Diceros bicornis minor: one gene and its partner. The protein of the gene in region 1 purifies or fractionates together with the protein of each later gene. This does not show direct contact. Links are inferred from orthologs where the notes say so. Each region holds a gene or a part of one and is shown on either strand. Other genes may lie near its edges.

Region 1 (7,908 bases):
TAACTTTTTTGTAATAAAATTGATGGCGTGGGGACCGGCCCAGTGGCATAGTGGTTAAGTTCGCGCGCTCTGCTTCGGTGGCCCAGGCTACGCAGGTTCGGATCCCAGGTGCGGACCTATGCACCACTTATCAAGCCATGCTGTGGCGGTGTCCCACATATAAAAAATGTAGAGGAAGATGGGCACAGATGTTAGCTCAGGCTCTAATCTTCCTCCCCCCCCCAAAAAAAATTGACAGTATGAAAAAATAAAATAATTTAAAGAATAACAGTTTAAAAACTTATTTGAAATGAGGTTGTAAAGGTAGGGATTATATTTTGTTTTTCAATGTTGGAGAGTTCCCTGAAGGGACTCAGACTGAGAACATGTCCCTTTTTGGGGCCCTCTGGCACTATCTTTGGGCCTGACTTGACTCTCTGGGGGGAAACGTGAGCTGGTGGTTGCTGAGTCATTACATGTGAGCCACAGCCCTCTGTAGAGCACTGGCCTGGGGATATGGGCCACCTGCCCCCGGATGAGCTTTACGGGGTGGGGGTGGGGTGGTTCCGAGGCCTTCCGGGGGGGGGGGCGGTGCTGGGGCACAGATCACTTTCTAGACTCACCTTTCACTAGTAAATGGACAATGATCAATGAATTCTACTCATGAAATAGGGCAGAATGCAATCAACAATAAAAGATAAAATAATATAAATAGCCAGAAAGGGTCAAAAGATGATTTTTAAATTTTAGTTTACTTTTTAATTTTCATCTTGAAATAATTTCAGACTTACAAAACAGTTGCAAAAATAATACAAATGTTTACATCTTATATAACCACAGTACAATGATCAAAACCAGAAAACTAACCCTGATACAAATTATTAACTAATCCAAAAGCTCTTAGTAAGATTTCATCATTTGTCCAACTGTTGTTCTTTTTCTTTATTCTTTTTTCTTTGTGAGGAAGATCAGCCCTGAGCTAACATCCATGCCAGTCCTCCTCTTTTTGCTGAGGAAGACTGGCCCTGAGCTAACATCTGTGCCCGTCTTCCTCTACTTTTTTATATGGGGTGCCGCCACAGCATGGCTTGACAAGCGGTGCGTCGGTGCGCGTCCGGGATCTGAACCCTGGGCCACCAGCAGCGGAGTGCGCGCTCTTAACTGCTACGCCACGGGGCCGGCCCCTGATGTTCTTTTTCTATTTCAGGTCCAACCCAGGGTGCCATGTTGCTTTCAGTTGTCACCTCTCTTTATTCTCTTTTAATCTGGAACAGTTCCTCAGTCTTTCCTTGTCTTTCATGGCCTTGACATTTTTGAAGAGTTATTCTGCAGTTCAGTGCTGTCCAATATAACTTTAACTGTCCAGTAGAACTTTCTGGGATGATAGAAAATTATAAAATCTATATCTGTGCTGTCCAATATGACAGCCATTAGCCACATGAAAATAGCATTTGGAATGTGGCTTGTAGGCTGAGGAACTGAATTTTACATTTTATTTAATTTTAATTAAAATAGCTACATGTGGCAAGTGGCTGCTATATTGGACAGGACAGCTATTGAATGTCCTTCATTTGGGGTTTGTTAGATGTTTCTTCATGATTTGCCTCCAATTGTGAGTTTTAGGAAGAATACTATAGATGTGATGTTGTGTCCTCCTTTGGTTCCCTGACAAAGGTGGCAGGAAATCACCAAGGCCAGGATTTTTACTGTGGCAAAATATACATAAAATTTACTGTTTTAACCATTTTTAAGTGTACAGTTCTGTGGCATTAAGTACATTCACATTGTTGTGCATCCTTCCCCACCATCCATCTCCAGAAGTTTTTCACCTTCCCCAACTGAAACTCTCTATCCAGTAGACACTAACTCTCCATTCTCCATTGCCCCCAGCTCCTGGCAACCAGCATTCTACCTTCTGTCTCTATGAATCTGACTACTCTAGATACCTCATAGAAGTGGAATCATACAATATTTGTCCTTTTGTGACTGGCTTATTTCACTTAGCATGATGTCTTCAGAGTTCATCCATGTTATAGCATTTGTTAGAATTTCCTTCCTTTTTAAGGCTGAATAATGTATTCTATTGTATGAATATACCACATTTTGTTTATCCATTCATTCATCAATAGACATCTGGGTTGCTTCTACCTTTGGCTGTTGTGAATAATGCTGCCATGAAGACGGGTGTACAGATATCTGTTCGAGTCCCTGCTTTCATTTCTTTGGGTATGTATCCAGAAGTGGAATTGTTGGATCATATAGTAATTCTATTTTTAATTTTTTGAGGAACCGCCATACTATTTTCCACAGCAGCTGCACCATTTCACATTCCCACCAGCAGTGTACAAGGGTTCCAATTTCTTCATGTCCTTGCCAACACTTTCTGTTTGTTTGTTTTATAATAGCCATCCTACTGGTTGATATCTGCTATAGACTGAATGTTTATGCACCCCCGCAATTCCTATATTGAAACCTAATCCCTAATGTGATGGTATTTGGAGGTGAGGTCTTTGGGAGGTGATTAGGTCATAAGGGTGAAGCCCTCAAGAATGGAATTAGTGCTTTTTTATTTCATTTTATTTTTATTTTATTATTTTTTTTTGTGAGGAGATCAGCCCCGTGCTAACATCTGCCAATCCTCCTTTTTTTTTTTTTTTTTTTTTTTGCTGAGGAAGACTGGCCCTGGGCTAACATCTGTGCCCATCTTCCTCCACTTTATATGGGACGCCGCCACAGTATGGCTTGCCAAGCAGTGCGTCAGTGCGCTCCCAGGATCCAAACTGGCGAACCCCGGGCCGCCGCAGCGGATTGCGCGCACTTAACCGCTTGCGCCACCAGGCCGGCCCCGAATTAGTGCTTTTTTAAATGAGACCTGAAAGAGCTCCCCTGCTCCTTCCACCATATGAGGTACAGTGAGAAGACTGCGTCTATGAACCAGGAAGTGGTCCTTATCAGACATGGAATCTGCAGGCACCTTGATCTTGGACTTCCCAACCTTCAGAACCAAGAAATAGATGTTTGTTGTTTAAGCCATCCGGTCTATGGTATTTTTGTTAGAGCAGCCCAAATGGACTAAGAAAGTATTGTGTTTTTGAGGATGCTGTATTTTTTTAATACCCTTCGAGTTCCAGCAAAGACAGGGGTGACAACTGCATTTGGAAGCCAGTCGCTACACTCCCAATGTTCTTCCTGCAAGAATTAGATATGAGGTCACTGGATTTGGGGTAGGTAGCAGGCAGGAGTAATTCTTGAACCAATCAACATTCACCCTGTCTTGGCTAAACAAGACAGAGCTGGCCAACTAACCTATGGTTAGTTGAGTTCAGGTGTGATATTAATATTTTGTAAATGCTGAACATTGTGAAATAGCCACAGGGTTACCAAGTAAAGTAATAAAATCTCACATGAAAAGAGTTCAGGCATCTTCCTGCAATTCGGTTTGGGAGTACTGGCTTTGGAGACAGGTATGTACTCAGGCATTTGCACATGATCTCTGCCAAATCTCTTAACCCCTCATTTGTCTTTCTTTCTTCCTTTTTAAGTTGCAGTATAAAGTGTAACAATTTTTTTGGTAACAATTTTAAGTGTAAGCTGATGCATTTTTATATATGCCCAAGCCCATGTACCCACCACTCACATCAAGATATAGAACATTTCCATCCCCCTAGAAGGCTCCCTTCTACCCCACCCCTCAACACCCAGAGGTAACCAGTGAAATGATTTCTATTTATGTAGATGAGGTTTGCCTGTGTTTGAATCTTACCTTGTAACTGGGGACAGACAGCAGGTACTGTTTGTGCTTGGCTTGGTTAGTCATGGTGCCCATTCATCCTGGTAAGATTCTTCCATGTTGTGTGTATCAATAGTTTGTTCTTTTTCACTGCTGTATGCTATTCCATGGTGTCAGCACACCACAGTTTGTTTCTCCATTGTCCTGCTGATGGACATTTGGTTGTTTCCAGAGTTTGCCTGTTGTAGATAAAGCCACTATGAACATTATCTATTGTGTGTGTTTCTAGGTGGACACATACTCAGGAGTGGTTGCTGGGTGATAGGGTTGGCATATATGTAACTTTAGTAAGAATTGCCATTTTCCCAAATTTTTTAACCTCTCTTGAAAACGGGAAAAATAAACCTCTACCTGGTTATTGTGAGAGTATTTAATGGGTCATAAGGTATAAGACTTTAAGCCTGTACCTGGAACATAGTGAACGCTCAGTAATTGCTGACCTCTGCCCCAGAGGAATGGTGAGGCTGTTGGCAAGCAGTGCAGGGAGGTACTGGCCCCAGACCCTTGCCTTAGGTGGAGAGGCCTTTCCCACACAGCACTCCGGGCCCACAGCCAGCGTGACTGGCGAGTCAACCTTGGCGCCCCTGCCCTGCACCACTTACCCGGCCCACCCCTACCCCGCCCCGATCCTGCTTCTTCAGGCCCAGCATGTGCCTCGCCTGGCTGGGCACTCGCGCCCCTGTGCACTTTGCTTGACACCCGAGGTTTACTGAGCACTAACTGTGTGCCAGGCCCTGGGCGCCCAGGAGCGAACGACATAAAGATCTTCACTCCCTCAAACTACTCCGCGGAGGAGGGGTTGCTTCGCGTAGGAAGCGCGGAGACCGAGGTGGCCGTCGACTCCGAGATCGGCCGCCCACTCGGTTTCTAGCCAGATCCTGGACTTCCCCTGGAAGTTGCTCGAGACAAAACAAGGAAAGAAAATAATCTGCTCCTCCGTGCCCCCCCAGGAACCCAGGTCTATCCCGAGCGCCCGTCCCGCGAGGCCAGGCTCTCAAACCACCGCCGAGCGCCGGGCGCCGCAAGGCTCTCGCGGGCCGCGAGCCCCGCCCCCGCCGCCTGGCCAATGGCCGCGCGGCCCGGCCCCGACCCGACCCCTCCCTCCCTGTGGGGGAGGGTTCCGGGCTGTCAGCGGCGGTCGGTCGCCGGGTCGTGGCTACCCGAGGTAAGCTGGCCGCCCCGGGCGCTCGGTCTTCTGGGCTCAGGGCGCACGGACGCCTTTCGGGGAGGTGGAGGTGGCCCGTGGCGGCAGGAGCCGAGGGGTACTTGGAGTCCGCCGGGGCGCACGTGGTGTGGGCGCGCGCGGGCCGGGGAGGGGGCAGGGCGGGAGGGGCTGGGGAAGAGTGGGACCTAAGGCACACGGGGCTTGAGGCAGCGAGGGCTCCACGCGCAGCATCCGGTACCGGGGTCGGGAGGTGGGTGGCGCGAGGCTTCTGCTCCGGATACAGCGAGGTTAGGCCAGGAGACTGGCGTCTGCTGCTGGGCTCCTCCAGCCGCCCGCAGGCCCAGGGTGACCCCGGGCGAGGCCTAGCCGGGGTGCGCAAACCTCTGGGGCCGCGGCCGCGCCTGGGGGTCGGGAGCTGCCGCCTTCCTCTGAGTCTTGACAGTTCTCGGTGGTGACACCTGCTCGGAAGAACAGCCTCCCCGTCCTCCGCGAAGCTGGGTCGGGCCCAGGAATCCAGGAATCGGAGCCGAGGTTGTGAGGCCTCGCCCCGCCCGCGGGGGTGGGTATTTCTTTCTGGAGCGCGCTCAGAGCCTCTGGGGCGGTCAGGTGGGAAACTCTCCTTGCCGCGTCGGTCCAAAACACTCTGCCAGCCATCTCGGAGACGCGACGGCGGTGCTAGGAAAACATTGGAAAACAAAAACAACCTTCTCCGTATGGATACTGTGGAGCCTCAAAAACGTCTGGAAGAACAGTCAGCGACCTTGGAACCGCGGCGGGCAGGGTTAGTGTCCTGCCCTGCCTGAAAGATTTCCATTTCCCACGAGAGAGAAAGGAATAAATGTTGCATCCTCTGAAGGGCACCCTCACCCAGGCAGCGGCCTTGGCCCCTCCCAGGGCTTGAAGCCAGGTGCTGTGTGACTCATACTTGCTGCAGGGGCGTCTATGCCCTGCAGTGTGTATGGTGAGCCTCAACGAGGCAGCAAGTCCTGGGTTCCAAGTCCTTTCAGGGCCACTGGTCAGCTGTGCAACGTGGCATCACTTCTCCTCTCATGGGATTGTGCCAAGGATTAAGTGAAAGAAACTTAGGATGTGCCTGCTTATAGTGGACCCTCAATAAATGTGAACAGCTACGGGCTTCCTTTCTTTTTGGTTGGACCGCATCATACCCCCATACCCCCCAAATTCTGTGCCTTACGGGCTGAGGCTAGGATGCAGAAGAATGTATCACTCGACTCTCTCCTGGTACCTCCCTGGATGCCATGGGGGGAAGGAGAAAAGGGTCTATTAGCCACCACAGAGTTGTTCTTTGCTCATCTGAAGTCTCAAAGGACCCCTGCCCCCACCATCCTCCTGACCTCTGTCATTAGCAGTTGCCCCATTAGGGATGTTGCGATACATTCCTGGTGGTTGGCAAAGTGAGTCATGCAATGTGAGGCTGTGATGCTGGTAGACAGGACTGCTGCCCCATTTCCCATGTGGTGAGGGATTGGTGGCCTCAGCAGCTTTTGGGCACTCTCTGCTCTGCAGCACTGTCTCCTAGGGGTTTCACCCAAGCCTGACACCCATGTTTCTACTCCAGCCTGGCACTCTCTCCTCTGCCGCCCCTTCCTTTCCTGAAAACCCACTGGGGCATCCAATAGCATCTCAAGCTTCACTTGTTCAAAATGGAACTCTGGAGTCCCCTCTGTGCCACTGCTCCTCTGCTAGATTCTTTGGACCAACCATCCACCCAGTGCCTGAGGAGTCACCCTTGATTCTTCTCTCTCCCTCACCTCCACATCCACAAAACGCCAAGAATCCAACCACCTCTCGCCATGGTTACCATCTCAGCCGTACCTGTACCTGTCGTGTGTCCCCTGCCCTGGCCTCCTGACTTGTCTCCCTGCTTCCATCCGGCCCCTCCACAGTCCAGGGTCCTTACAGCCTCCAGAGAAGTCTTTAACATAAGTCAAATCCTCTCCCTTCCCTGCTCAGATCCCTCCAATGGCTTTCTTTTGTACTCCAAATAAAACCAAAGTCCTTTCCTATAACACCCTACGTGAGTGGCCCCTCCCAACCCCTTAACCTTGATGTCTACCCCTCCCCCTAGCTTTCTAGACCTCCACCACACTGACCTGTTTTCTAACCTTTAAACATATCAAGTTCATTTCCACCGTAGGACTTCTCGCTTGCTGTGGCCTCTGCCTGAAACACCGATCTTCTCACAGCCAAGAACAGCTCAGCTCAAACGTTGCCAATGCAGAAAGGTTTCCCTGACCATCCCAGTTCAAGCAGCACGCCCTTCTCCAGGGGCTCTGTCTCATTACCCTGCTTTGGTTTCTTTATAACCTTTTTTTTTTTTTTTAATTTTATTTATTTATTTTTTCCCCCAAAGCCCCAGTAGATAGTTGTATGCCATAGCTGCACATCCTTCCAGTCGCTGTACGTGGGACACGGCCTCAGCGTGGCCGGAGACCTTGATTACTATCTGGGATTCTTGTTTATGTATATGTTTACTGATTTGCTATCTGTCCCACCCCAATAGAATATAAATTGGATGATGGCAGAGGTCTTGTCTGTCTTATTCCCTGCAGCTCTCCCCAGTGAGAGAGGCAAATAAGAAACAAGGAAACAAACACATCTGTAATCGCAGACTGTGGTAAGTGCCACATAAGCAAGCAGCAGCGATGGCCTGTATTCGAGGCACTTTGAAATTTCAAGCTTGTAAGGCTGAACTACTGTATCGTCCAAACAAGCTCCCTGAGCCATTTTATGGGTGAGGAAAAGCCTGGAAAAGACTGGTAACTTGCCCCGGCTCACACAGTGAGGGGAACTCAGCCTCCTGCCCTAAGAACATGTATATAGCAAGCTTTAAGAGTGGACCTGCGGTCGTGCTCTGCAAAGAACATGATCCTGGATCTGGAAGACCTCCGTTCTTTGCTCTTCCACTAACTAGCAAGCCCCCTTAATTTGTTGGTACTTCGTTTTATTCACC
Region 2 (7,115 bases), on another chromosome or scaffold:
TCTCTGAAGGCCCAGACCTCTCTGCGGACAGGCCAACACAGTGAGGGTCATTTACAAACAGGTTCTGCTCCTGACATTTCTCTTACATCCTGTCACCTGACACTTTTGAGACACATGAGGGTGTTTACGAAAAAATACAACTCTATTGATGCAGAATAAGTTTCATTCGACAGTGAAGAAAGGTCTCTAGGATTTTATTTCCTCAAGGACCAGCTGATGGACTCATCAGAGCAATTACTGACCTTAGTTTACCAAAGGTTACTACTACTAAACTCAAGGCTGATGTTTAAACAGAAAACTGTGTCCCTACCTGGAGAAGCCACATGGACCAATGACTGTCCTCCAGTGATCACAGCTGGGGTCAAAATTGCAATCACGTGTCCAGGCTCTGGGGCTGTCTGCCATAGACAACCCAGGAGATGAAGAGAGAGGAAGGTGTGTAGACTAAGCCTCATCTTCCCCACCAGGCTCTGGTATTCCTGGGTGGATCCAGCCAAGTGCGAGCTCCTGTCATGCATAGGGTGCCCCAGCCTTGCTGTGACTCATGGGGGTGCTGCCCTTTGTGGGGGTGCCAGGGACTGGAGCCCAGGGAAATGCCTGCTGAGAGATGTGGAAGAGGCGAGTTTGTCCAGCTGTGTGTGTGTGTGTGTGCACGTGAGAATATTGTGTGTGCTCTGTAGACTGAGTACATGTGCAAATTGCTTTCTGTGTTTGTGCATGTGGACACATGTGCCTCATGAACAAGCATATTCAGTGTGTCAGAGCACCAGGCACAACCCAGGAGAACTTGGAGTTAGCTGTTTCCCCTTCCCTTTTTTCAGCCTGACCCTGAGGTCCTGACCGTGTTCCTCCTGCCCACTCTGTCCATGGCCATGTGACACAAGGATTCCCTTCTCAGATTCCCTCTCCAGCCCCAGGACACCAATTCCTGGGAGCTGACACCCAGATAGACACAAATTAATGGGACCTTCATGCTGTCTCCCACAACCACCCCCAGAAGGAGCCTCTCTTCCTCTCTCCATCAGGGAACTGCAAATCCAAGTATCTGTTGGGCAGTAGGGAAAGGGGTGCAGATTGGAGGGACCCTGCCTCCCGAGAGGAAAATCCTGTCGGTGGGGTGTGTGACACTGCTTTAGAGAGAAAGGCTCAATGTCCCCATAAGAATATTTTTGGCTCCAAGATACAGAACTAAATCAGATGTTCCTTAAATCTTCTGATTTTAGTTTCTACATACCGCTATCCATTGAAAGGAACCAGGCTCCTTGGACAAATGACTAACTCCAGGGTAGGGACAGGGAAAACACAAGACAAACGTGGATTATTGCTATGCCAAAAAGTAAGTGTTATAGGTTGAATTGTATTCTCCACAAATTTATATGTTGAAGTCCTAACCCCTAGTGCCTCAGAATGTGACTGTATTTGGAGATAGTGTCTCCAAGAGGTAATTAAGTTAAAATAAGGTCAATTGGGTGGGTCCTAATCCACCCGGTGTCTTTATAGGAAGAAGAGATTAGGACACAGACATGCACAGATGGCCAACCATGTGAAGACACAGGGGGAAGGCGGCCATCTACAAGCCAAGGAGAGAGACCTCAGAAGAACCCAACCCTGCTGACACCTTGATCTTGGATTGCTAGCCTGCAGAATCACAAGAAAATAAAATTCTCTTTTTAAGTCAATAGTATTTGTTACAGCAGCCCTAGCAAACTAATACACCCTATCTTCAAAATATATCAAGAATCGAATCACTTCTTGCTGCTCTGTTGCCTGGAAGACTGCAAACTGCTCTTCTGCCTTCCACTCTTGACTGCACAGGCTATTCTAAACACAGGAACCAGACACAGTCTATGAAAACTACACGAGTCAGAGCACCTCACTGCTGTGCTCCAACCCTCCAGTGGCTCCTGTCTAATTCAGAGTAAAAATCAACAACCTGAAAGGAGCCTGCAGTCCCTGTACATCAGGTTCTTGTTACCTCTCGGCTATCAACTCCTATGACCTGCTCCCTGGCTCCAGATACCCTGGCAGACATATGCAGCCTCAGGGCCTTTGCAATGGCTGCTTCCCTGCCTTAGACAGTCTTTTCTCCATCTACGTGAAGGGCTCACTCCCCACCTTCTTGTGTTAATTACTCAAAAGTCACCTGCTCAGTGAGGCCATCCCCAGCCACACTATCTGAAATCGCACCTCCCCATCGCTACCACCCCCATTCCCTTCTCCATTTTTTCAGACTGTGGCCATCTCACACAATATCTATCTTACTAAATTTTTGTTGGTCTACTCAGCAAGGAGGTAAGATCCACTATGGCACCGTTTCTTATCAGTCTTGTTCACCAATGGATCTCCGACTGCCTATGACAGTGCTTGACACACAGTAGGCACTCACTCTATACCTGTTGATTAAAGGTCCAAGGTGAGGTCCCAGCATATGTTGGGTATTGCACGAGGTAGTCATCTCAGAGTTAGACCCCCGACAGCCCCTGTCACTTGCTCACCTAGGGAGCAGTGCAACCTTGATGATGGGCACTACCTCTTCCCTCAGATGCCTTGTCCTTCCTGCTCTTCTGGTTGACATGGGAGGATGTGTTCTGATGTGTTACTGGCTAGCATGAGGGAAGACCCTAGAAATGTCCGTGGGCAAAGATGTGGAATAAATCCCAGAGCTAGCTGCACATTTTGCAGGGTGGATCAATGTCATAAATTGCTCAGGAGCTGATCAACCCTGACAGCAGAGCAGCTGAGGAGGAAAGAAGGCAGGAAGGGCGTGGCAAGTGTCACATCCCAGACATGGAAGCAGGAGAGGAGCGCCTGAAGGGAGAGGCACAGACCTCAGCTGCAGAATGCACCTCACAGCTTTAACCTGAAGACAGGCCTCAGTAACTGAAGTCCAGTGACAGAGGTGGCTCCAGCTGGGCCAACGATGACCAGAGCCACCACCCTTCTGTAGCTCCAGGTCCACAGGTCCAAGTCCAGACTCACAGCCTCTTGGCTGACAAAGATGGAGCCCTCACTCTTAAAGAGGAGGTAACTGAGATGAGGAGAGGGCAGGCAACTGCCCAAAGTGACACTACTTGAAAGAGACAAGGCCTGGCAGCTGACTTTTTTTTGCTTTTTCCATTTTGAACATGACCTTAATGCCGGGAGGTAAACAGCCAGTGACTCTCATGGTCCTTTTACAAATAAAGGTCACTTGGAAACAGAATGGGTGGTACCAGGCCTGAGGCCAAGGCCAGAGGAGCCAATGGACATTGGACCACTGTGTCTGGAGCTCTGTCTGGTAAAGGTAACCTGGGGCCAGGGGCTCACGTTGGGAGAGTCTGTGCCCTTCCTGAGTCCTCGGGGGCATGAGCTCGTTCTGATGGGGGCTCTGCCCACATCCGAAAGTGTGCTGCTTTGTCTTCGTATCTCCAGTGAGTCAATCACTCCCATTTTTCCTGCTAGGTCATATAGAGATGCAGTCTGAGTGTTTGAGAACTGGTTTCAGCCTCTTTGTTGCCTTATAATAAAGCTGTTTGTTATGGTGGATGGGAAGTAGGTGAGTGCATCTTATGTGCTGGTTTCCTAGTTAACAACCGTCTCTCTCCCCCACCCCATACACACACCACTGTCACTCAGCTTCTCCCAGGCTCACAGAGCCCTGCTGTTCACTGGGCAGTAGGAGCCCCTCCACAGATCCAGTTGACGCACTGTGAGTGGTCTGAGCCTGCCAGGAAGCCCCTTCCCCTTTGCCCACAATTGGTTTGGGAGTAGAAATGTGACCCAAATTTGGACAGTGAAAGATGGGAGTGAGACAGCCAGGGGACTATGGAAAAGACTTTACCCCCAGAAAAAAAGAGACAAAGGGTGAGAAACACCTTCCTTTACTGCTTTTGGACATTGCCAGGTGAAAATGTGCCACTTGAGGCTGCTGCAGCCATAGTTGACCACGCAGGATGTCACTGCAGACACAGGACCAGCATGATGGAAAAGCCTGGGTCTTCAGTGGTCTTGTGAGCTGCTGAACTGAAGCAGAGTCACCCACCTCCTGGCTTCCTGTTCCAGAGACAGTGAACGTCCAGGCTGTTGTAACCCTCTTCTGCTTCTCGCAGCCAAACGCATCCTATGGGGGCAATGATCTCCTGGGCCCCACCTGGTCCAAGGCACCCACCATCTGAATGCTTTTCCCCTGGAATACATCACCCTGTATGACCTGCCCCATGGCTTCTGACCCAATATTTCCTAGAGTCGTTACAAGACAATGGCCTATGGGGTGCACTGGGGGTTGACACCTCTGTGCCTCTAAATGCTGCCCCTTCTCAGAGTAAGAACACTTGCCCAGGGCTTTTTTTGGAAGAGACCTGGGGTTTCTCAAGCAGGAGCAGTTTATCAACCTTCCCTCCTACCCTGACTGCTTCCGGGTGGCTGTAAAGCACCAATGATTCCATGTTTTGAGGTAAGTAACCATTGGCCTTTCTGTTTAGTGAAAATATTTAGTCTCTCTTTTAAAAATGTTTAGTATTGAGTAGTTTTCAAACAGTGTCAGAAGGAAAGTGAAAGTGAAATTCTAAACTTTGATATAAAAGCTGGTCCGTGAACAGTAGAACCCCAGTACACCATGGCTCAGGTAAGTCTCCTGGAAATTTCTATCAGTGGTTCTAGCACAGGGCGGGGGGGCCACTCTGCTCCTATAAAGACCTCAGTCTGGGTTCCTGGACTTGGGCACAGTTAACTCTCGAGCATGCAAAGGCTTTAGAAGACTTTTATGGAACATTGTATTTGTTGTTTAAAGGTCCCTTTTCCTGCAGAACTATGAGGTCGTCAGTCTTCAGGCAGAGTGAGCCTCCTCTCTGTGTCTGGCACAGTGGGTTGGGGCATGCAGGGACCCCTCTGTGGGAAGAGCTGTGGGTGTCTGGGAGCTGTGGCTGCCCGAGTTGCAGGAAGAAGCTGGAGTGTGGCCAGGGTGGGACTCCAAGAATGGAAGTGAGTGAGCCTCCCCTTGTCTGCTTCAGCTGTTGGCTGGAGTTCCGTGCCTCCTCAGCTCCGGCCTTTTCTCTCTCCTCTTTCCTCCATGGCATTTGTCCTGCCTTATTAAGTGCATTTGAATTTCAGCGTTCTGAGTCTGAATCTCCTCTCTCATCAGCCCTGACGTCCAGATTCACACAGTTTCCAGGGAGGGGCAGGCGGAGCTCAGTGGTGTGTAGCTGAAAAGGAACAAGCTGACTTGGGCTATTATTGGAAACGGGGCAATTCTGGAAAGACACACATCACACTTTAGAGGGTCGTCCACCCTGTGTATCACTCAGTTCTGGGGAGGAACTTTATTGCTGCCAAAACCAAATCAGGGCTCTATTGCCTGGGCAACCATCTCCTTATCTGGGCAGAGCCCAAGCTCACATTTCATCTGCCCCAGCTGCTGTGTGCAGAGCCCAGGCCTTGCCTTAGTTAGTTACTTTCAGAGTGAAAAATTCCTTTGTGATTCCAAAGTGGGGATGGTCTCTGGGCTGCCCTGCCCTGGCTGAGTTGGAGGAGGAGCTGGACGGGCCCTGCTTATCCTCCAACCCTCTTCCATGTATATTTCCTTGGCCCCCAAGCCAGGCCCTTTGCCAAATCCTGGAGATGCAGGGTGGGAAGGATGAGTATACAGGATCCTGCCTGAACAGAGCTCAAAGCCCAGAGGGGGTGCAGACAGGCCCATGACCCATGCAGGGAGAGGTGGAGGTCCCGGGGGCCTGGGGACCCAGACAGTGGCAGCTGAGCCGGGCTGAGGCCTTCAGAGCAGTTTCTCAGGGGAGTGATGTCTGATGGGGGGAAAGAGGAAGAGAGGGTGTGGGAAGGTGTTTGGGGACAGAAATACCTGATGTCCAGAGCATCAGAGACAAGCACAGGCTCTGTGCTGAGAGAAAGGAAGTGATTCAGTCAGCCTGGCGGGGAGAGCAGAGGGAGTGTGAGGAGGGGTGAGGAAGGACGGGTCCTGAGCGCCTGGGAGCTGCCCGAAGGGCGTGCCCTGTGCCCTGAGGCCCGAGGAAGGTCATGGCCAGATGTGCCCGTTGGGAAGGCGACAGTGGGTCTTGGGCAGACGTGATGTGGAGTGGCAGGGACAGGAGGAGGGGGCCGGTCGGGAGGCTGTGGGGGAGTTCCTAGAATTCCCAGAGTTCCCAGTTTCCAGAATCTGGGCAACTCCCAGAATTGCCCCAGAAGCAGGGACAGGCCTGCCCCGAACCTAGTCAGTGGGCGGGAGGTGGACGAGAAGGGAATTCAGGAGAAACTTGCAGGGTCAGCATTGGTTGTTGGCTTGGCATGAGAAAGTAGACAAAGGTAAGCTGACCCCTGGTCTAAGACTGGACGGCTGAGGGATGGAGGAGGTTTGTCATTGGCTGAGATCAGGCACAGGGAGGGAGAAAAACTGAAGAATTCTCAAATCATGAAGCTGTGGTGCCCTGGGCCAGGACATTGAGGAGCAGGAAGGAGGTGTGGAAGGGGAGGAAGGCAGGGGAGAGTCAGGACCAGGGAGAGAAGTGGCAGAGAAGACCCAGCTCAGCCGCTTCCCAGCTGACTGTTCTCAGACAAATCCTGTCATCTCTCTGGTCCTCAACTTCCCACCTGAGCAATGGAGTGAGGCTTCCTTCCCTGGGGTGGTGTGAGGGTTGCAGTTATTGTAGAAAAAGGCCAGCAGAGGCCGGCTGTGTGAGTGCAGCAGCCCCCTCAGTGCTGTAAGCGGGGTGGCCCCACAAGGGTCCCCTCAAAGGCTCAGGTCCTATTAGGATGCTGTCAGTTGCTGTCTCTCAGGTGGGCATCTCCAAGGACGGTTGTCCCAATGCTGAAGGGGACAGAGTCTGAGGAGGAGGAGCCTGGTGCGGTCATGCACAACCAGGGGCAGGAGACGTGATGAGGACTTGAAAGTCTGTCTGGGAACGACAGGGAAGCTCAAGACTCACCTGCCCGACTTTGCTGGGGTTGGGCCTGGGACTGCCACATGCAGGCTGTCATGTTAACACGCTCCGGAGCACCTGCACAATGCACCTGCATATACATGTCTGCATCCTCAGTATGCACACATGCACACAAAACACACATACGCCATAACACACATACACAACACACACATACACAGTACACACACAGAACATGCACACATA

The links. The genes of interacting proteins can lie anywhere in the genome.
Region 2: the proteins of MAVS (region 1) and PLAAT4 purify together in Homo sapiens (affinity purification with western blotting; 4 studies listed by BioGRID). This does not show direct contact. The link is inferred for Diceros bicornis minor from reciprocal best matches to the Homo sapiens genes MAVS and PLAAT4.

What each region holds. Positions count from the first base shown.
Region 1 is NC_080758.1:32,224,793-32,232,700, forward strand, and holds the start of MAVS (mitochondrial antiviral-signaling protein), read left to right. Parts: upstream 1-4,895; 5' UTR 4,896-4,934; intron 4,935-5,164; exon of another isoform or gene 5,165-7,572; intron 7,573-7,908.
Region 2 is NC_080770.1:9,410,938-9,418,052, reverse strand, and holds the start of PLAAT4 (phospholipase A and acyltransferase 4), read left to right. Parts: upstream 1-4,110; 5' UTR 4,111-4,414; coding exon 4,415-4,432; intron 4,433-4,510; exon of another isoform or gene 4,511-4,594; coding exon of another isoform or gene 4,595-4,603; intron 4,604-7,115. UniProt on the Homo sapiens protein: Exhibits both phospholipase A1/2 and acyltransferase activities. Shows phospholipase A1 (PLA1) and A2 (PLA2), catalyzing the calcium-independent release of fatty acids from the sn-1 or sn-2 position of glycerophospholipids.